Linked DNA regions of Canis lupus familiaris. The protein of the gene in region 3 interacts with the protein of the main gene of each other region in a biochemical or structural test. Links are inferred from orthologs where the notes say so. Each region holds a gene or a part of one and is shown on either strand. Other genes may lie near its edges. The genes, in order: PML, IPO8, EIF4E, EIF4EBP3 and EIF4G3.

Region 1 (5,567 bases), on a different chromosome or scaffold from region 3:
CGACAGGATGGCCGGGAGGCCCTGTGGCTGCAGGGGTGGTGGCCTGGACTGCAGGGGCAGGGTAAGTCCACATGGGTTTACAGTACACTTTGAGGGGCAGGCGGAAGATACGCCCAAGACGGGTGGTTCTCTGCACTCTACGGGACAGGGGGCCGGTCCCGCGGCGGGGGCGGACGGCAGCCTCCTCCTGGTGGCGGGCAGGCTGGCTGGGAGAGTCGGCCTCAGAGACTGCGGCGGGGTGGTGGGAAGACCGAGCCGGGGGGCGGCATGCGCCATGGGGCAGGCGGGAGGCCCAGCAGAGGCGGAAGGCTCCTTGTGCTCTTGGCAGGGGGTGGGCAGGCGAGGCATGTGGTGTCGCGGTCTCCGTGGACTCCGTGCACTTTCCAACACAGAACCTCAGACTGAGAGCTGGAAGGGACCTCAGAGGCCACCCAGTCCAACCTTTCACTCTGTTCGGATCCCCTTTTCCCCAGCCTCCGTTAACCAACCTCCAGGGACAGAAGGGTGGCAGCCCACAGCGGTGCTCGCTCCACCGTGGGGTGGTTTTAAAGTCCTCTCTTACGGAGTGAAAACTGGCCTAATTGGGCCCTGTGCACTGCTGCCCACACCCTCGCGCCCCTGCGCTGACCCTCGCTGGCTGCGGTTAGCTGGGGTATGGGTTCTCATCCACCCTCCTTGCTGAGGACTTAGAGGTTAGAGAACACATAAGGAAGCTCCAGGCGTAAGGAAGCTCCAGACAAAGGCATTGGCTAGTCCAGCAAAGAGACAGGGCGCTGGAAGGAAGCGTTCTATCAGCATTTCGGAGGAGTACATATGGTTACTGAAGGCTCCTGCCCTGGTACGGGGGGACGGCTGGGGTGGTCCGGGCCCGCAGCTGGCATTTGGAGGCTGTCCTCAGGACAGCGGGGAACTCACTGCCTCGCTGGAGAACTCCCCAGGCGCAGGGCAAGTCTGAGAGTCACCTGCTGTGGCTGTGTCCCCTGGGACCTGGAGTGGGGGGAGGCAGGAGTCCGGGGCCGAACTTCTGGACCACTCACCGAGTTTTCAGCGTCTGAGTCTTCCGAGCTGCTGATCACCACGACGCGTTCCTCTGAAACAAGGCAGGGGGGACAGCATTAGGCCCTCCCGGGACGCCCGCTGGGTGGGGCCCCAGGTATACACTCCGTGGGAATCCCTGAAGGGCCAGTGGATGGGGCAGACGACGTGTGCCCTGCAGCGGGGGGAGATGGGAATATTCCCCGGGCATGCCTGCTGGTCTGGGTCTGTTTATTCAGCTTGGTTCCTGACACCCCTCTTTACGAGGGACCTTCCATCAGGGTCTGCTTATTCAAAACGGCTTTCTGTCACTGCCTACTGTGCCCTGTGCGTGAATACTCGATTTAGCTATTGGCCTTGAAATCGGAATTTGCTCCCCGATACAGGCAACTTGGCAAGCAGCACCTGCTTTGGAACTTTTGCAATCCTAGAGAAAGAAGCACGTTGGTTTGCTCCAACCCTCAGCCTCATGAGCTGAGATGTTTGGCTTAGAAGATACTTTATTTGGTTAATCAAAACCTTTTGATTACCAATAGCATTGTGAGCAAGGAATGTCGGTCAGGGCTCAGTGTGCAAGCAGGATCAGGGCTCAGTCTGGGATCTAGAATGAAAACAAAGGGGGCCTCTGGGTGAAGCAGATCTAGAAAGAACTGTCTCGACCATTCCAGAATTCTATTAGTTGACCTCAGCTCATGCCCCAGGACTCCCTGTCTGGCAGCGTCCCTAAGAGAGATTGAAGGACAAATGAGGCACACTTGAGGCAGGTGACCTTTGCAGACAAATTTGGGAAGTGAGAGGTGTGGACTTTCCCCGAGGTCTCTCTGGGCACGTGCTAGGTACCCACCAACAGATGCACCCTTGTGTGTGTCGGGGGAAGGAGCTACGGAACCACGGGCTTCCTCGCACTGGAATCCCAGTACATCACGCAGTAACTTGTATCCATCCTCACTCCCTCCTCTGGCAAACCGTGGGTGTCCCCTCTCCCCTCTGGTGGCAGCTGAGGGCACAACAAAAGGGGGACGATGTTGCCTTTGGCCTCCCTGGGTCCCACCCAGGCCTTGGAGGACAGCACGCTGGCTTTGGCCTCTGCCGCCTGCCCGCCTCCCTACCTGCCTCCCCAGGGTCGCCGGTTGAGTGGTTGCTGTTGGGCAGAAAGACCTCGTTTCCCATGATGGGACTTTCGGGGCTGGAGGGCCCATCCAGGGGTGGCGAGACCGCCTTGGAGGTGCTGGGCCTGGGCTGCTCCGGGGAGCTCTGGGCCAACCGAGTCTCCCGCTCCTCCTCAGACTCCATCTTGATGGCCTTCCTGGGGCACTCAGTTTGGCAGGACTTCCTCTTCTGGGGAGTGACTTTGTTGCAGACCTCCTACACGGCAGGGAGTCAGAGGCCAGGTTAGCAGCCTTCGGGGGTGCCGGGGCGGTGGGCAGAGATGCAGACCTGGGTGGCAGGGGCCTGTGGGCCTCCCTCACCCCGGTCCCCCCGCTCTCGCCGTGCAGATCGTGTCTCTCTCCACACAGGGTGCCCCCTGAGCCATCACACGCACTGGCTGTGCGCTGACCACCGCCTTTGCAGGCCTCTGCCCGCCCCGGAGCGGCTCGTGCTTATGGGGGGCTTTGCAGCATGGCCCCCAGGAGCAAGGGAGAGAACAGAGTCGGTGCTGACAAAGGCCTGCATTCTCACCCCAATCGGCCCCGCCTGCCGGGTGGGACCTGGGCCTTGGGTGGGGTGCGGAGGGAAGCTCACCTCTCTGCAGGACGGGTCTCTGATGGAGTAGGCGTGTACCGGCACCGGGTGGACCCCGGGCACCGACTGTACCAAAGCCCCAGTGTGGGTCTCCGTCAGCTGCGGGGCCTGCGCCGGACTCTCCAGCATCTCCTCCGGCGGTGGGGTCTAGAAACAGATGGAAATGAGAACCCCGGCCTGGGGGCGGCCCAGGGACCAGGAATTCCTCCTCGCACCCTCCAGGACCTCACCTTCTCGGGCCCATGAGGTGCTGGCTCTCGCCCAGAGCCAGCCAGTGACTTCTGGTATCGCACGGACCAGAAGGCCTGACAGCTTGCTCAACAGCTAGCTCTAGAAACAAAGCTCTCACTCCCCACGGAAGCCAATCCTCTCCAGGTGCGGAGTTCCAACAGCGAGGACACCCTCCCTGGGAGCTTCGCCGTGACCCTCACTCTGCCCCCGGGCCTTGATCCCACGCGGCCAGAGAAGCCAGTACACACCCGGGACACATCACTTAAAACTACTCCGGCCTCAGTTCCCCTGTGCAGAACGGGAATACCGGTACCAGCGGTCTCAGGGGACGCTGTGGATGAAGCGTGCTTAGAAGAGCACCTGGCACTTCCTAAGTGCCACCACCGATAACGGTCAGTACTGTTTTGGTCGCACCAGGTGAAGTGTGTCCTACATCTAAGTCAAAAGGAAGCAGGCAGGGGCAGTTCCTCCAAAAGCTAACCACAGAATTTCCAAATGAGCCAACAATTCTGCTCCCAGGCACAGGCCCAACGGACTGGAAACATGTTCAAACAGAAACCTGCACACGAATATTCACAGCGGCCAAAAGGTCCATCAGGTGCTGAGTAGATACACAAAATGCGGCGCAGCCATTGGTCGGGACATTATTTGGCCACAAGAAGGAAGGTGCAGCCTGGATGAACCTTGCACGCTGCGCTAAATGAAATGAAGGCAGCCAGAGAAGAACGCACGTTGTACGGCACCCCCCAGGCGAACAGGGCCACGTCTCCTTTCGGGGCAATGGCCCAGCTGGGTGGGGTGGCTGTACAAGACTGAGGGTGCTAGAGGTCACCCAACTGTACTCTCTAAGATGGTTCAGATGGCGACTTCCCTCTATGAATTTTCCCACAATAGAAAAAAAAAGATTACCGTTAAAAGAAAGAAACAGGGACCATCCCGTGGTTATTGCCAACCTAAGAGAAGGGTCAGAGGGACAAGGGGTGAAGCTATCTGATTCCCCAAGGTCCTGGACCAAGGCAGGGTTTGAATCTAGTGTTTCTGAAATGCAAGTTCCTTTATTTATTATTTATTTATTTATTTATTTATTTATTTATTTATTTATTTGACAGAGAGGGGGTGGGGAGAGAGCCTAAGAAGGGACAGTGGCAGAGAGAAGGAGAGGGAGAAGCAGGCTCCTCACTGAGCAGGGAGCCAGCTGTGGGGCTCCATCCCAGGACCCTGGGATCATGACCTGAGCTGAAGGCGGACACTCAACCGACTGAGCCACCCAGGTGTCCCCAAGTTCCCTTTTCTTTAGTCACTGTCTCTCCTTTCTATCCCTCCACACCACCTTTCTCTACTGTGAAGCATCCGCTGGACAGTTTGCTGAAAATAAGTGACAAGTGATGTGGGAAGTGTCCCTCGGAGAGGGGAGGCCCAGACTCTGGCGTTCGGCTCCAGGAACCCTGGCCTGCTATTCCTGCCTCCAATCCTGCCCCGTTGGTGCTCCAGCTCCGTGTGTGCCCAGGAGATGACCATGAGCAGAGCCCTGCGGTGAGCTGTGTAGTGAAGGAAAGGGAACCCCTCACAGCTGGACGGGGTGCGTCCTCGAGCAGAGCTACTCTGGAGAAGCCAGACCCTGGACTGTGAGATTAGGAGGAGGCCGGGGATATGCCTTCCTCCCAGGGACAAGCTCTCTCCCTCCTGTGTGGTAGAGGAGGGGTCAGGACCACACTCACAGGGGGAACCCCGGGAACTGCCTGGCCAAACCCGTGCTGGGGGCAGGAAGGGGAAACCCAGCACGGGATGGAGCCACGTGCTGCACCGGAACCCCCAGCCGGGGCTCTCCTTGGTCTCAAGCACTCTGATGTGGGATGTGGGCTCCCGTATCATTTGCTATAATGGACTGATTTCTTTTGCCCCCTCTTCCTTCCTGGATTTCTTTTTCTCAGCATCTTTACAGAAAGGAAGGAGAGCGGTCCCTCTGGATCAGAGCAGAGTGTGTATCTGGGGGAAGGGGAGAGAACAGACGATCTCCTGGGCCTCTAGGAACGCATACAATCTCCGCAGAGTGCTCTACACCAGTATTTTTCAAACTGTAGTCTGTGACCCACTGGCGGACCATGGAAGCAATCCAGTAGGTCAGGACTAGCATTTTTAAACGTTATGCACAATAGTACAGAACAGAAAGCATTAGAGCACATCCCATGTAACAAGTGTAATTTACTGTGCAAAACTATCATTTTAGTCACAGTTTGGCATGTCCATGTGCATATACTGTAGACTAGATATAAAATATATTTCTCAGGGGGTAGTGGTCAAAAATTGAAACCACCTCACACCCGTGAGGATGGCTATTACGGAAAAAAATGCGGGTGAAGATGTAAAGAAAACAGAGCCCCTGCGCACCGTTGGTGGGAATGCAGGACGGCGTAGCCCACCATGGAAAATTGCAGAGTGACTCCTCAAAACATAAAAAAATAGAATGACCAGGATCCCTGGGTGGCTCAGTGGTTTGGCGCCTGCCTTCGGCCCAGGGCGTGATCTTGGAGTCCCAGGATCGAGTCCCACGTCAGGCT
Region 2 (6,053 bases), on a different chromosome or scaffold from region 3:
ACTCAATAAATATGTTATTCACATAAGCAAACTCTCTTAAAGGGCGATAAAAATAATATAGACAGGGATGGTTGGGTGGCTCAGCAGTTGAGCACTTGCCTTCACACCCAGGGCATGATCCTGGAGTCACAGGATCGAGTCCCACATGGGGCTCCCTGCATGGAGCCTGCTTCTCCCTCTGCCTGTGTCTCTGCCCACCCCCCTCAATCTCTCTCTCTCTCTCTCATGAATAAATAAATCTTTAAAAAATAATAATAATAGAGACAGATGTATGGAAGCAGGGGTTCCAAAGCTCGGCAAGAAAGTAATTCTTTTTATTTCCCTATTGAGGCCATGTGGAGAATGCTTTATTAAAAGAACGTACCTTTGTGGATGAGTTACTAGAGCAAGATATCTACCCATTCCTACTTCCCTTTGCTGCTCTGGGCCCAGAGACAAGGAAGATTGTGCACAGGATGCATTCTTAACATCCTAAGATAAAACTGAAAATATGTTGTCCCAGGACCCCTAAGTGGCTCAGTCAATTAAGCTTCCAACTCAGGTCGTGATCTTAGGGTCATGAGATTGATCCCCATGTCTGCTGAAGTTTCTCTCTCTCTCTGCCCCTCCACACGCTCACAAGCTCTCTTTCTCTCTAAAATAAATAATCTTTAAAAAGAAAAAAAGAAGAAGAAGAAGAAGAAGAAGAAAAAAATGAAAATATGTTTTCCCACAGAAACAATATCACACAGAGCAATCAAGGAACCAGTCACTGGTAACAAAAATATGTTGGTTACAGAAAAACATAGCTCCAAACAAGAATTTATCCTTCAGAACAGAGGCTGTTATGTTTTGAAACTGCCTACTCTCCTACATGGCAATTGACAAATCATCAGTACACTGCAGAAGCTGCTCCTACTTCTTACACAGAGCATATGTGCTGTGGGGGGACCTAGACTAAAATACATGAGCTGGACCCTAATCACTTATGGTAGATTACCCACCCATTTATCCAACAAAGCCGGATATTACAGCAATGATAAAAAATAAGCACACAAAACCCAACATTATAATCATATTTTACTACAAGGTTATGTTGCGGTATACTTGTCTTCTACTTACAGATAATTCAAAAAAAAATACTTAGAGCATATTACAATTAAAAGCATTATACAAAATATGAATGCTAAAAGAGTGGCATAGCAATAAGCTCCTTTTACAAGTTACAGAGGAAATTACAGCCCGGGATGAAACGGGTGGATATGGGACAGGGCAAGAGTTTGGATGAAATAGATGTGAACTGAAATACCACAAAGAAAGAAAATGTAGAATTGGGTCCCGAACGTCTCTTCTAGTTCTGCAGGCTTTCCCATCAACCCTTCCCCTTCTATACAGTCAACTGCACTTATACGCTGATGAATCAGAAACAAAGCAAGGACAGGCTAACGGAGGCAGGAAAGTATAACATGATATCAAAGATATGATCCCTCCTGACACTAGCAAAATAACATCTGGCCTCATTGTGAAGAGAAGGGGGTCACCAGCAGGCCAACTCCCCTGTTCATACTAATAGACTGCAACTTCAGCTCTTGCTTTGTTCCTTCTAACCAATCCCTGGGTTACTGTTCTTCTAGCCAATCGACATATAGTACCTCTGCTCTGCAAAGCCTGGAACAGGTACTCACTTTAACTTTCCCCTATTCTGAGCGAGAGTCCTTTTCTTTTTGAGGTAACAGCACATTCTCTTTATGCTTCAGTTTAACTCAACCTCTCCAGTGTTTTCACTCTCCCTTTTATCTCTTGGGAATCCTGAATTCACACTTACTCCAAACACCATCCAGATCTCCCACTGGATTTCAAAGATTTAAAATGCACAACTGCACTTTAAAGTCAACTCCAACCAGGGAAAACCTTAGTGAACTCTGGCAGAAACTTTTACTTGAGACAGCTGCTCTCACACTTGAGGAAGCACCCAATCACCTACCTAGCTAATTAAAACATAATCGGGGCCCACCCCCCAGAGTTTCTAATTCTCTAACCTGGAAGCCCAGCAATTTCCGTTTCCAGCAAGTTCCCAGGTGATGTTGATGCTGCTCATCCTAGGCAATACTTTGAAAACCACTCATTTAGGGTATATTCCTTTACATTTTAAGGAAAACCTCAACCAGCTGTCACTCTACCCTGGGGAGTAGACCTTAATTCATAACTTTTATTTTATTTTATTTTTTGTAAGATTTTATTTATGTATTCATGAGAGACACACAGAGAGAGGCAGAGACACAGGCAGAGGGAGAAGCAGGCTCTTCGAAGGGAGCCTGATGTGGGGCTCGGATCCTGGGACCGCAGGATCATGCCCTAGGCCCAAGGCAGATGCTCAACCGCTGAGCCACCCAGGCGTCCCCATACTTTTTTTAATGAGAGGTCTATCATTCATTTTATAGGTGAGGATGAAAATCATAAGCTAATTTGGGGGATCATTACACTCTCAAATTGTTGGTGGTAAGGCTGGAACAGGGTCAGGGCTAGTAAGAAGAGAGGACAGAAGATAAAAGAAAGTCTTGGGCAGTCCTGGTGGCCCAGTGGTTTAGGCGCCACGTTCAGCCCAGGGCGTGATCCTGGAGACCTGGGTTCGAGTCCCACATCAGGTTCCCTGCATGGAGCCTGCTTCTCCCTCTGTGTCTCTGCCTCTCTCCCTCTGTGTGTGTGTTTCTCATGAATAAATAAAATCTTTAAAATAAAATAAAAAAAAGTCTTACACATTTCAGCGCTTATAAAGAATCTCTTCCAGGGATGCCTGGGTGGCTCAGTGGTTGGGCCTCGGCCTTTGGCTCAGGTCGTGATCCTGGGGTGCTGGGGTCGAGTCCCTCATCTGGCTCTTTCTCACTCACACACACACAGCCTGTGTCTCTGCCTCTCTCTGTGTGTCTCTCATGAATAAATAAAATCTTAAAAAAAAAAGAGAGAGAGAGAGAAAGAAATCCCTCCAGATGCCTATTCCTAGATGTGCCTATTGTAAAATCGTAGCACCATGAAAACTGCCTCCTCTTCCCCCTGCACCGTCCCGGCGGCGCTTCCCGGCGCTCCAGCAAAACTCTGCCAATCAGTGTCCACCAACAGTCCTGCCAACCCCACGGGAGCAGGCGATGGGCAGGGTTTCCCACCGCAACACCTTAAATTAAAAAAAATTTTTTTAAATTAAAAAAAAAAAAAAAAAAAGGCTGGGTCTGGAGGAAAGCAGAACTCCGAATTGTGAGTGAGCGTTCCCGCCGTCCCCCAAATCGGCGTCCCTGGGGAAATCCCACCCTGCCTGCGCTCCTAGCAAAGCCGCCCGGAGCCCCTCGCCGCGGCCGGGCGAGCCGCGCCACCCGCGCTGTGCGGGAACGCGGGACCAAAAGATGCAAAGGTGGCCAACAGGTGCGCGAGGTGCTGGCCGAAGAAAGATCGCAGGAGCGGCGCCAAGCCGGCCCGGGCGGGGGCGGGGGCGGGGGCGGGCGGGGGCGGGTGGGGGCGGGGCGGGGCGCGGAGGGTGGGGGCGGGGTGCGGGCCGGGGGCGGGGCGGGCCGCGGCGGCCGCAGGGTCCGGGGCACCGGCCGGGTGGAGACCCGGGGCGCCGAGCCCGGAGCGCGCGCGGGGGCCGGGGGGGGGGGGGGGGGGGGGGGGGCGCCGGCCCGCGCCTCACCTGGTTGAGCTCATTCTCGGCGGCAATCCGCAGCTTCGGGTCGATGGTGCCCTTCAGCGCCTGGATGATCCGGTTGAGGTCCATCTCCCCGGGCGGGGGCTCCGCGGCCCCCGGACCAGTAGGCCAGACTGCAGCTTCAGTTTTCCTTTTGACCCTCGCAGCCTCCTCCTTCGCGCCCCCTGCACTACCTCACTCCCCGCCCCCCGCCACCGTCGCCACCTGCAGCCACTTGCTGCGCCACTCTGACTCCGCGCCCCCTGTCCTCCCTTTCTACCCCCCACAACTCGCTCTCCATTCACCCTTTTACGACAGCCGGTGGGAGGCGGGAGAAGCGAGAAGAGGAAGCGGCGCTTCCTTTACGGCGGGCCCTTCCCCGGGGCGGGGCGCCATGGCCGCTCCCGCTGGCGGCCCCCATGATGCTGTACGGAAAACAGCGCCGGCCTCTTCCCGGGAGAGAAACGGCGCTCCCGGGCTTGGGCAGGAGGCCACCATGCCGCCTTACGGAAAACAGCCTCCGCGGCTTCCCAGATGAGGAAACCAGCAGGCTCCAGGTCTCTTTACAGCTACTTCCTAATTAAGCATGTACAGATGGAGCGGCACTTTGTGAGTACGAACCTGTGCAAGGGCACACTTGTTGGGACCTAAAGATCACCTAGCCCACGCGAGGGAGGGCAGGATTCCCTTGGTCCCTGGGAGCCATCATTCATTCATTCATTCATTCATTCCCTGAACATTTGTCAAACATGTTTTGGAGCAGAGTATTGAGATATATGTAGGTACCACATCTCAACAAGATGGTCGAGATGGAGGTTTTTATGAAGGAACTTACAAGCTGATAGAAGAGACAAACGTACAAATGTTTACAGAGTAAGTGTGAAAATAAAGAGATCAGAGAAACCATGTGCCTGAAGTTTTCTGAAACAGGTCTGTACCTTCTAAGAAAAAGAGTGAAAGGCCAGGAGTATACAATTTCCACCCACTATGACAATAAATTCAATGGCACAGGGGTTGGCAACGGCTCCGTGTTCCCCCTTTAGTCCATTCTCCACGCTGACATCAGAGTGTTTAAGGGTTGACACTGTCATGTCCCTTCCTTGATGATTTCCCATCAATTTCAAGATAAAATAAAAACTCCTTAGCACTCCAGGGTCTTAGGAAACGTAGTACTTTCATCCCCACACTACTTCATTAACCTCCTTTCTTGGGCCTCGTGATAATCTAAAGCTCCTTGACTTCTGAAATATTAACCCCAATATCCTCTTTTCAAATTAAGACCTATTCCTCCATTCGCTCTCCCTCAATAATTCTACACCTGTTTTCCAACTCAATTACCTTTTTAGTTCTTAGTTTCCCCATTCCCGAAACACATCCTTCTCTGCTACTGAACCCCCAATTCAACTTGTCTACCCCTTGACCCACTGTACAAATTGACACCAGTACAAATGTGTGTTCTTTTCTCAGGATCAACAATCCCGTTCCTTCTTTAATCAGCACCATCTTCCGTTCTCCCAGCAACTGTCCCAACCCTCGAGACTCTTCTCAAACTCTTTACCTGTCTCCTAGAACCATGCAAAGATGAACAAAGTCATCAGGCTCAACTCACTCAAACAAATCTCTGCTTACCAGTCCTCACTTCCTTACATCCAATCTGAAACCAGTCCTCTCCTATCTCTTCTGGGACCTTGCTTAATCTCTTCTCTATGTATTTTTCATTAAAATAAATTTTGGGTACAATTCTATGCTCACAGTTGACTAGTTTGTAATACTTTTTCTTGTATTTTCAACCCCTTTCTCCCCACTGACTCAACCTCAGCCTAAAAACGTTTCCCCCAGTTAAAAAACAATCTTTCTCCAATAATGCTAATTATTCTTCCTTCTTTTTCACCTTTCATTCCAAAGAATGGTCTTCATTCCTTCTCTCCTTACTTCCTACTCATACTTCAATCAGCTATCCATAGTCTTCTGCCCTTGTTTCCCTCACTGAAACTGCCAAGCAAAAATCAACTCTGATCCTTTAGATACTAAATGCTAAAAATGTCTTTCTCTTGTATCTGGCACTGTATTACATGTTCTTTTTACAAAACGTTTCCTTATAAGGAATATATTCATAATATTTTGATGGCTCGCTTGATCGCCCAACTCTTAAACACTGGTGCTTCTCAGAACTCTTGTCTTTAGCCCTCCTCTTTCTCTTCTCTTAAACCCATTCTGCTTCTGTCATTTCATCCACTTATATAAGTTCAAACCATCAACTCAACAGAGACAACTCACAAAACTGCTTCTAACCAAGAGCTCTTTCCTTAAACTAAATGTATCCAAATGCCTACCATGTTTCTACCTGATATACCCAAATCCTTTAAGGCACATGTCTAAAACTGAAGTGTGGTAGCACTGA
Region 3 (4,550 bases):
CCCCACCCACTGGGAAAAGACTTAAAATAAAACTGATTATGATTCTGAAATGGTAATAATAAGGATAATCAAATGCATATAAACCAGGTTTTTAAAAAATTTAGAATAATGTGTACATTTAATTCATTATTCCTCCTCCACTCCTGAAAGCTGATGCTTCTTAAAATGGACTGCATCTTAGAATTAGGAAAGAGCATTAATTTCTAATAGATATACTACTCCAATCCCACCCATTGCCAACACACCACAACCACCATCACTTATAAGCAGGCTCCTGAAGTGCTCACAAGTACACATATCAACACAGACAATAAATAACCTTAACCAATCACTCAAGCTTAAGCAGCAGATATTAGATATATTCTATTGAGATTATAAACACAAACAATTCAGTATTTTTAGAATACTGAACAAGAGGTGTTTGTGGTATTGAGAATACTTAGATGGTAGCCTATGGTACCCTTTAAACTGTTTTAAAGTTCTTCAATGAAATCAATACTATTAATTTCATATTTACTTATATAAGATTTTTGTCAAACAACAGTTTTTAAGTTAATTCATAATCATCATTTAAAGACAAATTTTCCTCTTATCTAAATTGATTTTCATTCTCTAAGTTGAGCTTACCCTTTTGTCTATAATAGCCATATTTCATTTTACTGCATCTGAAATACACAATTATCTATTATATACAAAGTTTTTCACATGTGCTTTCAAATGCCTAAAAAGAGATCAAGTTTTAAAATTTACATAAAACCATACTACACCAATTTACCAATATAAATATGTCTTCATACCTATTTATTCCATTCTATTTAGACAGCAATACTAACAAAATGTATAAGCTCCAACCACCTGTTCTCTTTCCCTATGCTATCATTGACACTTAGAAAACAACATCCAGTTAAGCAACCAAATTTTATAACTACCATTCCTACCAATCAAATGGTAATGCACCAAGATAACAATTCTCTTGAATTTTAACACATTAAGAGTACATTATTTACCTAAGACTGAAGGACTATGCCTTCTTGTATAAATAACAAAGATAGCCAAATCAATTTAATTCCATATATATGATGCTACCTATTCAATTTATTAAAAATTGTAATAAACATAATAATCAAACTAGTGCTCCAAACTTATGCTGTTCAGGTGAAGACACTACAAGAAGACACAATAGAGACTGCCTGGCAATAAGAAGTACAAATTCCTTCTATAGAGATGGAGAAATAAAAGGACAAATCTAGTTGTCTAAAAGACAATTCACTGTACACATTTTATTTACAGTTTTGTACACTGTCTTAATATGAATGGGACCGCTTTTCTACTTGAGCCATTTTTTTAACCAAAGCAAAATAACCTAAGTAATACAAAGTGTTAAAATACAGCATAAAGATACAAAAACAGACATACTAATTCTAATTAGGAATGTAATTATGATGTTACATTTTTTTTTATAATCCACAATTATGTTTAGGAAATCACACAAACATAGATCACTGATTTGAATGAAATGCATAAATTTGTACCAAAGCTTTGCAGTTACAAAAAAACAAAAAAAATTACCAAAGAATGCACAAAATTAATGTTTATTCCACCTTTGTGTCATATTCCTGGATCCTTCACCAATGTTACATGAGGAAAAAAACAAAAGCAAAACAAATGAAAAACTGAAATCAGAATCACTAATGTTATCAAGTAGGGAAACAAATAAATTAAAATCTAGCAGCCATCAGCAAGAGTACAGCAAAGACAATGCTGTAAAAAGAAACAAAGAAAATTGCTAGAAAACTGTATGCATCATACTCTTTCAAACCAGCAAAATATGCTCCTGCATACAATGGAACATAAACAGAATTTTTTTCCTGTAAGGTATAGAAATGGAAGTTCTTTTTTGAATATTGTGGATGGGCAAAATGTGTTTATATGGTAATTCTACTAAGCTATTACAGAGTGGGCCAGGAACACATTTATGGATTCTGGGGATGATGTGTACTGTTAATTCTTTGATTGGGATAGTGGACACTCTAGCCAAAAAAAAAAAAAAAATATGAACACAGAAGTACAAGACAAAGGTGAATGAGACTTCTCTTATATCTTAGCAACATTTAGATGGAAATCAAATTTAAATGCAGTCCACTCTGCTTTTGAAGAGGCTTTGGTTCAGCTCCCAAATCTCGATTGCTTGACGCAGTCTCCTATGAGAATACTCAGAAGGTGTCTTCTTAAACAACAAACCTATTTTTAGTAGTGGAGCCGCTCTTTGTAGCTGTGTCTGCATGGGACTGATAACCAATCACTATCTTTGGAGGAAGTCCTAACCTTTCCTTGTATACCCTCCTAGAAGAAGAAAAAGAAAAAAGGTAGTCATTAATTTTTATTCATATACACCAAATTTGGTATTCTTGTTCTTTACATAAAAAAAAAAAACAGAGTGTGAAATAGGAAATTGCACACCTTTTTCCTTTTAGCAAATCTGACTCATTTTCACAATCTTGGTTAAACACTTAACCAATATTTGAGACTCCACTATGTTATCAGGTACTACGTAATTACTAATAAATCAATAAGCAAAGCATGGACAGTCCCTGGGTATTTATAGTATTTGATTATTCACAAACAAATAATAAATACAGTGGAGCTGCATCACATGCATAACTCATTTATACAAAATTTATTGCCTATATAGGTCTACTTTAATTCTTTCATCTAAAATGCTACAATTAGGGCAGCCCAGGTGGCTCAGCGGTTTAGCACGGCCTTCAATCCAGGGCGTGATCCTGGAGACCTGGGATCGAGTCCCACGTTGGGCTCCCTGAATGGAGCCTGTTTCTCCCTCTGCTTGTGTCCCTGCCTCTCTGTGTCTCTCATGAGTAAATAAATAAAATCTTTTTTAAAAAATAAAATGAAATAAAATGCTACAATTATATTTTATATATAAACCATAATAAATATATTACTGCAAATCACATTTACCACACTTATTACTTTATGATATTTCCAGAGTAATTTAAAACATACATCATTTCTGCCTTCTATACTAACTCTGCAACCTAATTTTCAAATAACATGTGACTATTTTAAGAACAAACTATGACGAGTGCCAACGTGGGTAAGTACAGGGGCTGTGATATTGTATAACAAGGATGATCTAATCTTGTCTGTGAAATTAGAGAAATCTCCCCTTTAAAAGTCATGAGGTTAAAAGTAAAATGCTGAGAGAATGAAGCACATCTGAAGGCTGGGGAACTAAATAAGGCTGTGTGGCTACAGCTCATAAAGAAAGGGACTATGAGTTAAAAAGGTTAAATAAAACTGAGGCTAGATCACAGAGAGCATCACAGGTAAAGTTAGGGATTTGGACACTTATTCTAAAGAAAAGACAGCAAACCTTCAAAAATAAGCACCCAAATAAAATAAAAGACATACATTTATACATATTGGAGCTAAATTCTCCAATATGATACTAGGATAGTTTTATTCATACTCATACCTTCCAGAAGATTCTACTACCTTCCTACAAATAAAGTTTCTAAAAATAACTTTCTAACTAAAATAACCATTATCAGATTTATATGAGGATACAAAGTATTCCCTTCCATTACACTTAATCATAAAAATGCCAGAAAGCCAGAGCACTCAGCCATGTAACTTGGGTCAAAAAAAAAACAAAAACAAAACAAAACAAAAACAAAACAAAACAAAATAACCTCCATTAAAAAACTGAAGTCAAATATTTCACAAAGATTTCAATAATTTTAAATACTGACACAAATACTATATTTTCAGAGGAAAGAACTTCATACTTATTTTTTAAATTGTTTTTTTAATAATCAAAACTATTAAGTTTTGATGCTGAAAGGTTAAGAATATGATGACAAATCAACTTTTTTTTTTTTTTTTTTAGATTTTATTTATTTATTCATGAAAGAGAGAGAGAGAGAGAGGCAGAGACACAGGCAGAGGGAGAAGCAGGCTCCATGCAGGGAGCCTGATGTGGGACTTAATCCCGGGTCTCCAGGATCAGGCCCTGGGCTGAAGGCAGCACTAAACTGCTGAGCCATCCAGGCTGCCCTCAACTTCTCTTTTAGAAAAAACCTGGAAAATCTCCATTATCTTTTAATCTAGAAAGGAATTATGTTCATAGGAGAATTCATATTGTTTGAAAACAATCACGAAGGGCAAACCAAATATTTTGTGACCTATGACCAATACTTAATTTTAACACAAAATTAAAAGTCAAATATTACTAATTTAAAAGTAATAAAAAGAGGATCCCAGTTAATACTGATCAATGCTTGGGGGATAGGGAAATTCCAGGCAATTATTCACCATGCCCCAAATTTAAAAACTTACACATGTAGGTTTTTAAAATATGGACACAACTAAAATACTATCACTTAAATGTCCCTGAAAATTTTACACACATGTGCACAGAACAGACATTTAAAATATGGACAGAACTAAAATACTATCATTTAAATGTCAGTCACTGAAATTTTTACACACACGTATACAGAATATATACTATTTGCCAATACTCCCTG
Region 4 (5,836 bases), on a different chromosome or scaffold from region 3:
AGTTTCAAGCCAAACAAAAAGGAGTAGTTAGTAAACTTGATTCTGTCCCACTGTTCAAGACCTTTGGACCACATTGAAAACCCAGGAAGTAGCAAATAAGCCTGTAGGAAAACAGCTTCTGAACATCTTGTTCTCTAACTAGCCCTAGATCTCTTCTACCAAGAAGTGTTGCTGGTTGTGACGTCTTTCCAGTGGACCCTGTCCTGGAATGAGGGGCTCTGAAAACCCCATATTTTCTATTCATCTTTAAAGATTTGTCACCATTTGTCATCAGACATTCTTCACCTTTACTTTATTCTGTAGCAAGTGAATGAGAGAAAGATAGTTTTAAGTATCCAGAATTTATGTGCATTAAGACCACATCCAATAAAGAGCAGAAGACTGGGCTCTAAGTCCTAATTTGGAAAATAGGATCAGCAGTCTCAACACCAGACTGCCAAACCTGTTTTGATTACTTTTATCTCCTGCTTTATCTTCATGGTATTGGTCTAAGTCCAAAGTAGTTTGGTAGCAGAGACCTGATATTCCCTTAAGGGCTTAATCAGTTCCCTGGGGTTGGAGCCTAGGCATAGATTTTTTGTTTTTTGTTTTTCTATTTTTCTGTTTTTCTTTTTCTTGTGCTTGTCTGTATCAAGCTCACATATTCTAATGGGTAATCAGTGTTGAGCCTCTAAACTCTTGGTCCTTCATCCAAATTGCATGCATGATGTATCTGGCTTTCTCTCTAAGGCCAATGATCTATCTCTTGTTCCCTAGCCTTTAGAGCACACACAGCACCTCAAAACAAGCTTCTAGTAGCCGTACATAGTAGTGGTAACTGCTGCTGTCATTGTGTAGTAGAGATGAACATAAGAGTGACCTCACTTCCACACTGATCCTTCTTGAAAACTCTGGACACTTCTCAGCCTCCTTTGGTGAATCCTCTTCCTCCACTACCCCTTAAATAAATGTTGATGTGCTCAGGCCTCTTCTTAGGCTGTATCTTCTATCCCAGTGATCTCATCCCACACTCTTGGATTTCACTCCACCCAGATCTCAGTCACTAGCCTAGATTTCTCCCCCTGAGCTTCAGACCCATAGATCTAACTCCTTGCCATGCTGTTCCATCTCAGCATTCCACACGTTATATATTTCCCAATATAAGACAGGCTTCTCTCTCTCTCTCTCTTTTTTTTTTTTTTTTTTTTTAAGATAGGCTTCTCTTATTTTCCCCACTTTATTAGGGGCTGCTGCTACCACCAAGACTTTTAAGTCAGAAGACTGGAAATTATCCTAGCTTAACTCCTTCTCTCTCACCTCACCCTTAATCAGTCACCTTATCTTTCCCCCTCTGTGTATGGGGATCCTGACAACTTCTCTCCATCCTCATAACCACTGCCCTTCTGTCTACCCCGTTTCACTAGGCTAGAATCCTCACCTTCAGTCTCATGGTCCTCTATCCTATTCCTCACTACCCCCACAAGACTTACCTCAAAAACTGAGTTGTGGGGGATCCCTGGGTGGCTCAGTGGTTTGGCGCCTGCCTTTGGCCCAGGGCACGATCCTGGAGTCCCGGGATCGAGTCCCGCGTCGGGCTCCCGGCATGAAGCCTGCTTCTCCCTCCTCCTCTGCCTCTCTCTCTCTCTCTCTCTCTCTCTATGTCTATCATAAATAAATAAATAAATATTTTTTAAAAAAACTGAGTTGTGATAGACAGCTCCTCACAGTCTGCTCCCAAACCTTACCCTCCAGCAGTGTCAATCAAGACCCTTCTTTTAGGCATACATAACTTTGTAAGATGTTCAAAAATATTTTGGAACAATAAAATATAAATATCCTTGTTACCTGAAGTGTTACTCTAAGGACCTACAGAGCTGAGGGACTGTATCACCTGGGACCTAGAAGCTCAGGTCCTACCCCAAACTTACTATATCAAAATCTTCATTTACAACATATCCAAGGTGATTTTTATGCACATTAAAGTTTGAGAAGCATTGAGTAGTAAAACACTTTTTTTTTTTTTTTTTTAGTGAGTGGAGAAATCAAAGCTAAGGGAAAATATGATGAAGCCAGAACTGAAGTAACATTAATATTGTTAAATGCATGAAATCCAGTGGTCTGTACTTAATTGGGGGGTGAATCGTAATACTGATTTTAAGGAAATGAAGACCCCTTGACCAAATCAAGGTGTTTAGTATGTGTAGGTACTAGGTTTAGTACTTTCTTCTCCACCACCCTTCTCCTGCCTCCTTTCATATCACTGTGACTACATCAAAAAAATCCTCTAAGGCCAGACTCTCTGATCTTCCTTTCCAGAGAGCTAAAGACCAAGCCCTTCTCACCAGCCCCCTGCCTTTCCTTAGTTTCTTAAAGTTAGTTAGCTATATCACTTCTGCTAAAAAGGCTACCATCCCTCTCTGACCTTCCCCTTCCTGCTGTGCACCAGGCCATAGGGCCACTTTTTACCCTGTACTGTAATTGATTAATGGGAGGCAGTCCCCAGCTGTAAGGAAGGGCACAGGTCCTGGCATCAGATACTCTCAGGTCTGACTCCCAGCTCCCCCTCCTATAAGATAGAACTCTCAACCAGGGACTTAATCTGGGCTTTCCTTTCCTCACCTGTCAAATGTGGCTAATAATAGTGCTTTACTGTACAAAACTGTTGAGAGAAATGGGTGAATTAACACAGGGCAGTAGTGTGTGCTGTGCCTTACCGGTCCTGGCACCCGGTTTAACCAGTAAATAGCTGAATGGCTACAGCCCTGAGTCAGGCGGCCAGTGTTGAGCCAGGAGGATGCAGGCCTGTGCGGAGGTCCGAACTCCTTTCAAGCTTCCCCTAGTCAGGCGGCCTGGAGTGGGGCGGGACCGTCGGGTTGAGTGACGGCTAGCGGCCCGCCCCGGGCGTGACGTCATCCCGGTGTTGCTGCGGCGCACGTGGTCCACTGAGTCTGCTTCTGAGTTAGCTGCACTGGGCGCCCTGGGCTGGCGCCCCTGCCGACTGCCGTCCTGCTCGCTATGTCCACATCCACGAGCTGCCCGATCCCCGGAGGCAGGGACCGGCTGCCCGACTGCTACAGCACCACGCCGGGGGGCACGCTATACGCCACTACCCCGGGAGGTCAGCAGGCCGGGCTGGGGGTCCGCGGGCCCTGGGCAGGCCCAGCGCGGGCGTCCTGTGGCGGGCTGGGAGAGGGGAGGTGCAGGCCTGGGATCCTCGCCGCAGGCCCCTTTACAGGCTGTAGCTTTTGCAGGGGGTGGGAGGGTGTTTGGAACTGAAGGCCGGTTCAGTCCCCTGAAACTTCGAAGTAAATGCACCGTGGCCTAAAGCCTAGCTCCTGGGTGACTGTGGACTGAACTCCCCACTGTGGCCTGGGTTTTAGGTGCCCCTCCCGACTTTGCCGCCTGGCATTAGGACCCAGAGCCCGAGCTGAGCTTGACCTCAGCAGGAAGCACCAGGTCTCCCAAAGCGGCTAAAGCAGGACTCAGGCAGTTGGGGCCAAAAAGCCTTGAGTATCTGCAGGTGGCTGGCAGCTGTTTGGTTGGGCTGATTGCCTGGGATCTTGAGCTGCTGGGCTCTTGGACCCAGGTTTCCTGCCACGTGGAGGCAGAAGGGAGGGGCAAGAACAGGGTAGGGCCCTTTGAGAACAGAACCGGGGCCAAGTTTCTTAGGCTTGGGCTTAGCCTGATAGGACTTGGGAGGGGTCAGGGTAAGTAAGAACAGTCTGTCCCTGTTTCACCGAGAAAGCAGCTGTCCAGAGAGCACACCTTCTCCTTGCCGGGTACCCAAACCCAGATGGCAGCAAGGGTGAAATCTGCTATTTGGCCTCTTGAGCCAACTGCCTGAAGGGCTAACGACCCCCCACCCTACAGAATTGGGAAGCCCCAGATCCAGCAGAGCCAGACAGGAGCAGTCTTTAGTACCTGAGTTCTCCCAAGTTTTGTGCTCCTCCTTAGAACTGAGACCTGAAGCTTCCCTAAACCAAAATACCTGGACCAGCTGGGATGCCCTACTTGCTTTATGGCACTTAGCCACATCTTGGTTAGACCTGGAAGTCTTTTAAGTGCTCTGAAGGCCAGTCAGCTGAGACCCTGGCCGGTCTGCAGAGCAGTAGCCCTTTAATACATGGGGAAATGTGAGTTCCAGGTCCCTTAAAAGCCTGGGTATGACACCCTATAAGCTCTGTACCCAAGCTCCAGCCTCTTACCTAGTTCCTACCCCTTGACAGGCACCAGGATCATCTACGACCGAAAGTTCCTGCTGGAGTGCAAAAATTCACCCATTGCCCGGACGCCGCCGTGCTGCCTCCCTCAGATTCCCGGGGTCACAACTCCTCCAACAGCCCCACCCTCCAAGCTGGAGGAGCTGAAGGAGCAGGAGACAGAGGAAGAGATACCCGGTAAGGAAAGCAGGGCCTAAAATTAAGAAATACTGGAGTCCAAATGCCCCTGTTCAGTAGAGTGAGGGTTTAACAGTGAGAGGGGTTTCTGTACTGATGCTAAATTTGCTGAGCTTGCAGACCCTCAGCCCATCAAACAGTCCCTGTCTTCTTTTTCTCCAGATGACGCACAATTTGAAATGGACATCTAATCCAGTGCAGATGATCCTGTGTGGAATTAGAGGAATCCCTCATACCACTGCTGCCATCACCTCTTCCTGGTGTATTCCAAACACCAGGTGGCCTCATAATCTGGAAGGGAGTGACTTGGTGTCGGGCCTCCCTTAGTTCTGAGGCAACTAGACCAGGGATACGAGTGGGCAACTTGCCAAGCCCTTAGCTCTTTCCCTTCCGTCTGTAGATGCTCCTCCCAACGCCCAGCCCTCCATCATCAGGGGCTGAGGCTGGGACTAAGGGATGGAGTATGTCACTGTCTAACTGCTTAGTAAAAATTCAAAGAAATGCTTTGACTCTGGTGTTCTCCTTGATACTGACCTTCCCATCTCAGCCACAAAGCTGAGGGCCCCAGCAGACCTGGTGAGGATCAGAGGTCCCCCAGTCCATTCCCAGCTGTCATTAGGTCCACTTTCAGCAGCAGTGAGAGCCAAAGGCAGGTTATGGGGGCAGGCTACAAGAGCTGCCAAGCCATAAACAGCAATAGCAATAGCCTGACCCTTGCCAAGGGCCGTTCTAGCCTTTCCAGGAAGCAACCTTCCTGGAATTGGGCCTCTCCAGCAGTCCCTCCCTATTGATTCCAAATCAGGAAAAGGAGGCACTGCCCTAGAGTTTAACCTTCTCCAGTCCCTCCCATGCTTTTTCTGCCTTCCACCCATAAGTATCGTCCCCTGTTCCAACACTGAAAACCTGTATCCTCCCTTCTCAGCATAATTTAAGCCTCTATGACCCCTTCCATTTGGCTCTCCTGTCCTCAAGAGGGTTAGAAGACTTCAGGGCCCAGAATGAGTTAGCAGCTTACTTGGTGAATCAGTCATGATCCTACCCACCTAACTACCCCCAAGCACGCCTCCAAAAAGTCATGATCCCATGTTTCAGCAATCCAGTCTTCTTCATTTATACAGCTATGTTCTAATCTCTATAGCACTGTATGTCTCAAGGGTAACCAGAGTACAAACAGAGCAGTCTTCTTTTCTTGAGGGAAAAATCTTCTCTATTTGAGCCTCTGTTCTTATGCTGCAACGAAGTTATACAAAAATAGAGATACTCAGCCCAGCAAGGAATATGTGTTTCAGTCTATTTTGGGGGAAAGTGGCAGAAGTAATTGGTCATGCCTAGCAAAGTCATTCATGATGAAAGGAGGAAGAAGAGAGGCTTGTAAGGTACACAGATAGCAAGGCAGTCAAGGATACCATAAGGGACCAGTTTGGCACAAGAAGGGCTTCTCTCTCCTACCCAGACCCCAC
Region 5 (5,994 bases), on a different chromosome or scaffold from region 3:
ACGGCGGCCGAAGACGCCCCCGAGCGTCTCCGAAGAATCCCGACCGCTCGCAGTCTCCGGAAAGAGCCGAAGGCTCTTCCCACTCTCGGCCTCCCGAGCCGCTCCGAAAAGGCCCGAAGTTTTCCGAGCGGCCGTCCTGCCGGACTGCTGGAGGCGGCCGCAGCGCCATGTTGGATGCTCTGCTCGTTGAGTGAAGAAAATCCGCCGGCATCGCCTGAGCCCCGCTACCGAGAAGGGCGCCGCTTCCCCCGGGGAGGGGGATAAAGACCCCCCGCCGCCGGCCCATGAGGATATTGCCGTGAAAGGTCCGGTCTCTCCGCCTCCTGCCCCCGCCGGGTCCGGCCCCCCCCCCTGGGGTCGCGTTGTCACGGAGACCGGCAGCCGGTGGTGCTGGCCCGCGGGGCGGCTGCTGCTGCCGGCGGCGGCGGCGGCGGCGGCGGCGGGCGTGTGTGACCGGCCCCGGCCCCCTCCTCCTCCTCCTCCCAGCCTCCCCCCGGCCCCCCGCTCCCGCCGCCTCCCCGGGTCTGCCCCCATCCCGCCCCCCCGCTGCCCCCGGCCCCTGCACCCCGGCGCGCCCGGTCCCGCTCTGGGGGGGTTGGTGGCTTCGCTTTGCCATGAGTTTACCGCAGAAACCGGCTCTGAAATCAGGCTCAGCGGCTGCAGCAGGAACCGGACCCGGCACCGGAGCGGCGGCGGCGGCGGCAGCAGCGGTACCGCCTCCTCACCCGGCGGCAGCAGCAGCGGCGGCGGCAGCGGCGGCGGCGGCGGCGGCAGCGGCCCCTCCTCACCCGAACATCAGGGCCCTCCAGACCCAGGCGCCCCAACAGTATCCTTTTCACCTTCCTGCCGGCCTTTCGGCTTCTCGCCGCAGCCCCGGGAGTGGGGGTGGGGGGATGGGGGGGGGGTGGGCCGGCTCCCCGGGGACCCTCCTGCCGGCCGCCACAGCCCAGTCGGGGAAGGGGCTGCTGCCTGAGCCCCCGCAGCCGGCTCGGCCGGAGCTTTCGGGGTGCCTCGGCGGCCGCAGCCCCGCGGGGGACCCCGGGACCCTCTGCAGTACTGTGAAAACTAGCTCGGTTCGGCCTGGCCTCTGCAGCCCTTCCCTTTTAGAGCTGGGGGACCCTTCCCCCCACCTCCTGGCCTCCCCCCGCCCCCCTTTATTAGGCCGAATTTGCTGGTGCCTGGGACCAGCCCTGCAGGGAAGGCTTTTCTCTGTTGTGAGGACTACACCCTCCTCCTGCTCCTCTCTCTCCTGCTCCCCCTGCAGCGGGGCCTGGTGGTCTTCCCTAATTGTTATTATTAGTACATAATAAACTTTATGGGTAGATTTCCTGTCTGAAAGTAAGCTCAGTTCGTTTTTGAGGTAAGTCGGATTTTAAATCTACCGTGAAAATGTACGAAAAGCACCCCCCTCTCTCTGGCTAATGTTGTTTAGCGATGCGGGGGGGTGGGGGGGAGTTGTGATGTGGTTTGTGGTGGAACGCGATCTGAGGAGGAAATGTTACACCGGACGCTTCCCTGTCTTTGACCTTTTTAAAGGAAGAGGAAGTTAACTGACATTACCCATCACCCCCAAAAGTCTCACTTCTTGGAAGGCTTCTGTTACGGATATTTTCAAAGGCTTTAATTTCCTCTTCTTAGGCCTGATGTCTAGAGGGGATCAGGGCTTCTGGAGGACAGTCTGGTATTGAATGTATCTAATTTCATGTTATTTGCTCGATTGTAGAATTTTTGGACAGCTTTGATTGAAAAGACTTGATCACGAGGTATTTTAGTCAGAAACTAGCCGGTGAAGGTAAAACGTTGAATTCATGAATTCCACGGAGATTTAGAAAGTATTACCTACCTGAGAATAACGTTTCGTCATGCACCTTTCCCTCCCCCATCCGTTGTATTTGTGTAAATCAATAAATAACCATTGGCTGTTAGATGTGTTGTGTTTTTGTATTTGTGTCATTTTGTGTTTGACTTCCAGAGAGAGTAGGGTGTTGGAGCAAATAATTGCCGTGAAGTCCACGGATGATTTCACAGTCTGTAGTTTGATTCCTGTCTGTATCGATTACTTTGAGAAGGGAAAGGTATCTCCCTTCTAGAGTCATTTCAGGTCACCCTTTTGGTTTCTTTCAAGTGTCATTTTCTCTGTTCTTTAAATATTGTTATTCAATCCAGGCAGTGTGGTGCAGAGTAAAGATAAATTCCATTCCAGTGTGATGTGTGTACTGATTTCATAATGTTTTTATCCTGCATGATTCTTTTTCACGGATGAGAATGCTTAATGATACCTTAGTGTTGCTCATGGAAAAAGCTGGTTAGTGTTGATCTAGATCCCTAGTTGCTTTACTTTGGGGGGAAAAAAGGGTTGGCTGATTTGCCTACTTACAGGTGGAGGTCACTGCTGGATCTCTTAAACATGTCTTCACTTAATGCTTTGTGAGTTTGAGTTCCTTTCTAATTTCAGTCTTTTTTTTTTTGGTCTTGATTGCCCATACTTGGTTAGGGCCGTAAGTTTATATACTGTGCCACCAAGTAAATTCTTCATTACTTGTATCTTGGAGCTATTTTGGCAATTAAGCATTGAAAGGAAGCCCATAGCATCTGTGCTTGATGTACAAAGTGGTAAGTGACCAGTGCTTCACCAAGTGCTTGGAGCTTTATTTGGACGCAGAGCTGTGATTTAAGTGTTCACGTGTGCTTTTTCTCAATGCATTTCACAAAGGAAGGACTTCTACAAGCTCTGAGTTGGTTGCAACACAGAAGTAGTTACCAGTACTGCAACAGTTGTTAAAGGGCATACATTTAAGGTGTAATTTCCGGTGGCAATGATACTTACACCCATTTGTAGTAATGTGGGATAGTTGGTTTTATGTGGCTTTAAGATTTTACATGGTCTCATGTCATAGAATAGATTAAAATTCTTAATGTATTTCACAATTCTGTTATCTTAATGCTTCACTCACTGAGGTTTCAATTAGTGAAATCTAAAGGTTTGGTAGTTAATAAGGTATAGGTTACAGATTTCATTAGAACATACTAATATGATGAAATGTTACGAGTGGTAGTGGGGAATAGGTTAAGATGGATTGAAACAGAGCAATTTCTGCTTTTCTACCCAGAAGGAGTGTGGGAATTGGCATTTGTTTGATGAAAGTAGTCATCATGTGATTAGTTGATACACATGAAGCTTTGAAACTGAGGTGCAAGACTGGAGTTGCTTTTTTCTATGGCTTGGTTAAATCTCCGGTTCCTCAAAATATATGGGTACAATTGTGTTTGAATTGAATTAATAAATTCATATAGCTTTTTAACTTTATGAAAATATTGGAAGGAGAGTCACCTGACAGTGTTTTTGGTTTGTACTTTGTGTTCAAGTGACAAATTAGAAATGGAGAATGTTGGCAATAATAAATTGAAATATAAAGCGGAACCTATGTCTAAGCATCATTATTGCATGGCGGGCCCATAAAGCCATTTCAGTTTCAGGTAGAGGCCTTTGACTGCAAAGAGACCGAGAATGGGGCCTGGCAAGGAATGGGACATGATGGAGGGTGGCAGGGATGGTGGGGGATGAAAGAGGATAAACCCTACTGTGAAAAGTGCTACTGTGAGGGAGGAATATGCTTAGAGTTTTTATAACGTAATCCAATATGAATAGTTTATGAAATTGGCACTTCAAGATACTTGCCTTGAGATATGCTCTCCCCAGCTTCCCAGTATGAGCTTCTGAAGCTCTGAGCATTTTAAAAGTGATTCTTAACCTTTTCTGGGTAACAAATAACTTTGACATTTTGATGAAAGCTTTTAGACCCTCTCCACAGAAAATCGTTGCTTACATTTTCAGAGGGTTCTTGGGCCCCCGTTAAAAGCCTAGCCCTTTAGATGGAAATTGCTTACCTTTCAGATTAATTAAAGATAAATTAGTTTGAATTTAGGTGCCCAAATAGTTCTGACTTAGAGCAATTTTGCAGTCTGTTATGAATACACAGTGTTCTATTTATATGGCAAGACTTCAGGGTGTAATTTCTCTCCGAGCTGCTGACACTTCTGGGGAGTCTAGTTACTGTTTTGGGGCAGCCAGTTTGGTTAAAATCAGGGCAGTGGGTTCTTTGAAGGAACTAAATTTGGTAAAGGCCTGTGGCAACAGGAAAATGACCTGTGTCCTCAGCTATTTTGTCTTGGATATGATATATTAAAAACAAATATGCCAATTGAGGGTTTTTTTGTATTTAATTCTTTTTTTTGTTTTCTAGGTTGATTTTCAGTTTTATAGGTTGAAGCCATAACATTTATTTCCCTCTTTTTTGCCTCTTGACCAAAGCTAAATCTGCATAATGTTAATAGTATTCATTATTGAGTGCCTACTGTTCTAGTACCATACATGCATGATTTTATTTAGTTTTTTTTTTCTTAGTTTTCACAAGAATCCTAATAAGGTAGGTACTGTTTATATTTTACAGATGAGGAAACTGAAGAGTAGAGAAGTAATGTTCCCAAGGTTGTCCATCTAGTAAGTGGTGGTCCACAGCTCAGACCGTGGTATGATTGGCTCCAAAGCTCATGAATGTCCTTTCTACTATGCCTTGTTACTTCTTTGTTTTTAAAGATTTTATTAATTTCTTCATGGGAGACAGAGAGAGAGAGAGGCAGAGACACAGGGAGAGGGAGAAGCAGGCTCCATGCAGGAAGCCCTATGTGATGGGGATCCCTGGGTGGCTCAGCGGTTTGACGCCTGCCTTCGGCCCAGGGCATGATCCTGGAGACCCGGGATCGAGTTCCACATCGGGCTCCCTGCATGGAGCTTGCCTCTCCCTCTGCCTGTGTCTCTGCCTCTCTCTCTTTCTGTCTATGAATGAATAAATAAAATTAAAAAAAAACAAAAACAAAAAAAGGAAGCCCAATGTGAGACTCTATCCCGGGACTCCGGGATCATGCCCTGAGCCAAAGGCCAAAGGCAGAGGCTCAACTGCTGAGCCATCCAGGCGTCCCTGCCTCGTTACTTATTTCTTACCAAGTTGGCATATGAGAGTGGGAGGTAGTTAGGGTAAGGTCTTTATGCGGTACAGAGGCTCTGTGGAGTTATTTAGAATATTATGATACTGTATCTTGTTTTAATTAGTTCTCAGCCACATATTGCAAGACATGTATGTTATCTTTACCTCATTGACTCTTAAAGCATTAGAATAGGCCTGCACCATTTGATTCAGTGCATGTTTCTGCTTGTTCAGAAGTTAGCAAGGCCTCTAGCAAAATACTGTTGTAACTAGCAGCTAGAACTCTGTAGCTCATGAAGCGGCCAGCAGTCTCTCCACTCCTATGCCCCACCATCAACAGAAATGAATGTGTGTTCTTAAGGGTAGATCCTCTTCTAGGAAGGAGATGGGGAGACTGATGGAAGATGAAGATTAGGAAGGAAGAATGCTACTCAGGTACCTGAATCACTGCTGCTGCTGCTATTCCTTGTCCTAGGCTTCTAGGTCTTCAAGTGAGGTCTTTTCTGTCAAACTGAGGTTAAACCACCGAAGGACTGATATGTTTTTTTTTTCTTCCACATTGGAGTTTTCTTTTCTTTCTTTTGTTAAAGATTTTATTTATTTATTCTTGAGAGACAGAGAGAGGCAGAGGGAGAAGTAGGCTCCCTACAGGGAGCCTGATGTGGGACTCAGTCCCTGGACTCTGGGATCACGCCTTGAGCCGAAGACAGACACTCAACCGCTGAGCCACCCAGGCATTCCCTTATAGACACTTATTAATGTATTCTTTGTCTGATGCTCAGTGACATTAGAAGCATACTAACATGGATCATGGGGAAGGCAACTTGATTGTATAAGAGGCTTCTGGGTTTTGGCTTATTAATGTTAGATTTAGTCAAACAGACTGAAATGCCTCTATGACTTGGGTAGTGAAGATCGTGGCATGGCTTGAGACCATAAAATAAGGTTGCTATGGCCAGCCAGATGGTGGCTTGCTCTGTTTGATGATACAGTTAGTTCATTATGAGGA

Evidence for each region.
Region 1: the proteins of EIF4E (region 3) and PML form a complex in vitro, tested with the Homo sapiens proteins (4 studies listed by BioGRID and IntAct). The link is inferred for Canis lupus familiaris from reciprocal best matches to the Homo sapiens genes EIF4E and PML.
Region 2: the proteins of EIF4E (region 3) and IPO8 form a complex in vitro, tested with the Homo sapiens proteins (2 studies listed by BioGRID and IntAct, with this or other methods). The link is inferred for Canis lupus familiaris from reciprocal best matches to the Homo sapiens genes EIF4E and IPO8.
Region 4: the proteins of EIF4E (region 3) and EIF4EBP3 form a complex in vitro, tested with the Homo sapiens proteins (2 studies listed by IntAct, with this or other methods). The link is inferred for Canis lupus familiaris from reciprocal best matches to the Homo sapiens genes EIF4E and EIF4EBP3.
Region 5: the proteins of EIF4E (region 3) and EIF4G3 form a complex in vitro, tested with the Homo sapiens proteins (3 studies listed by BioGRID and IntAct, with this or other methods). The link is inferred for Canis lupus familiaris from reciprocal best matches to the Homo sapiens genes EIF4E and EIF4G3.

What each region holds. Positions count from the first base shown.
Region 1 is NC_049251.1:37,702,997-37,708,563, reverse strand, and holds part of PML (protein PML), read right to left. Parts: intron 2,926-5,567; coding exon 2,779-2,925; intron 2,401-2,778; coding exon 2,145-2,400; intron 2,033-2,144; coding exon 1,880-2,032; intron 1,091-1,879; coding exon 1,038-1,090; coding exon of another isoform or gene 963-1,037; intron 409-962; coding exon of another isoform or gene 397-408; exon of another isoform or gene 380-396; coding exon of another isoform or gene 1-379.
Region 2 is NC_049248.1:28,997,893-29,003,945, forward strand, and holds the start of IPO8 (importin-8), read right to left. Parts: upstream 3,963-6,053; 5' UTR 3,743-3,962; coding exon 3,659-3,742; intron 1-3,658. UniProt on the Homo sapiens protein: Involved in nuclear protein import, either by acting as autonomous nuclear transport receptor or as an adapter-like protein in association with the importin-beta subunit KPNB1.
Region 3 is NC_049253.1:18,849,623-18,854,172, reverse strand, and holds the end of EIF4E (eukaryotic translation initiation factor 4E), read right to left. Parts: intron 2,344-4,550; coding exon 2,229-2,343; 3' UTR 1,248-2,228; downstream 1-1,247. UniProt on the Homo sapiens protein: Acts in the cytoplasm to initiate and regulate protein synthesis and is required in the nucleus for export of a subset of mRNAs from the nucleus to the cytoplasm which promotes processes such as RNA capping, processing and splicing.
Region 4 is NC_049223.1:34,867,608-34,873,443, forward strand, and holds EIF4EBP3 (eukaryotic translation initiation factor 4E-binding protein 3), read left to right. Parts: upstream 1-2,938; 5' UTR 2,939-2,994; coding exon 2,995-3,097; intron 3,098-4,205; coding exon 4,206-4,376; intron 4,377-4,538; coding exon 4,539-4,567; 3' UTR 4,568-4,877; downstream 4,878-5,836. UniProt on the Homo sapiens protein: Repressor of translation initiation that regulates EIF4E activity by preventing its assembly into the eIF4F complex: the hypophosphorylated form competes with EIF4G1/EIF4G3 and strongly binds to EIF4E, leading to repression of translation.
Region 5 is NC_049223.1:77,219,202-77,225,195, forward strand, and holds the start of EIF4G3 (eukaryotic translation initiation factor 4 gamma 3), read left to right. Parts: upstream 1-2,244; 5' UTR 2,245-2,259; coding exon 2,260-2,305; intron 2,306-2,392; exon of another isoform or gene 2,393-2,407; coding exon of another isoform or gene 2,408-2,427; intron 2,428-4,451; exon of another isoform or gene 4,452-4,501; intron 4,502-5,994. UniProt on the Homo sapiens protein: Component of the protein complex eIF4F, which is involved in the recognition of the mRNA cap, ATP-dependent unwinding of 5'-terminal secondary structure and recruitment of mRNA to the ribosome. Functional homolog of EIF4G1.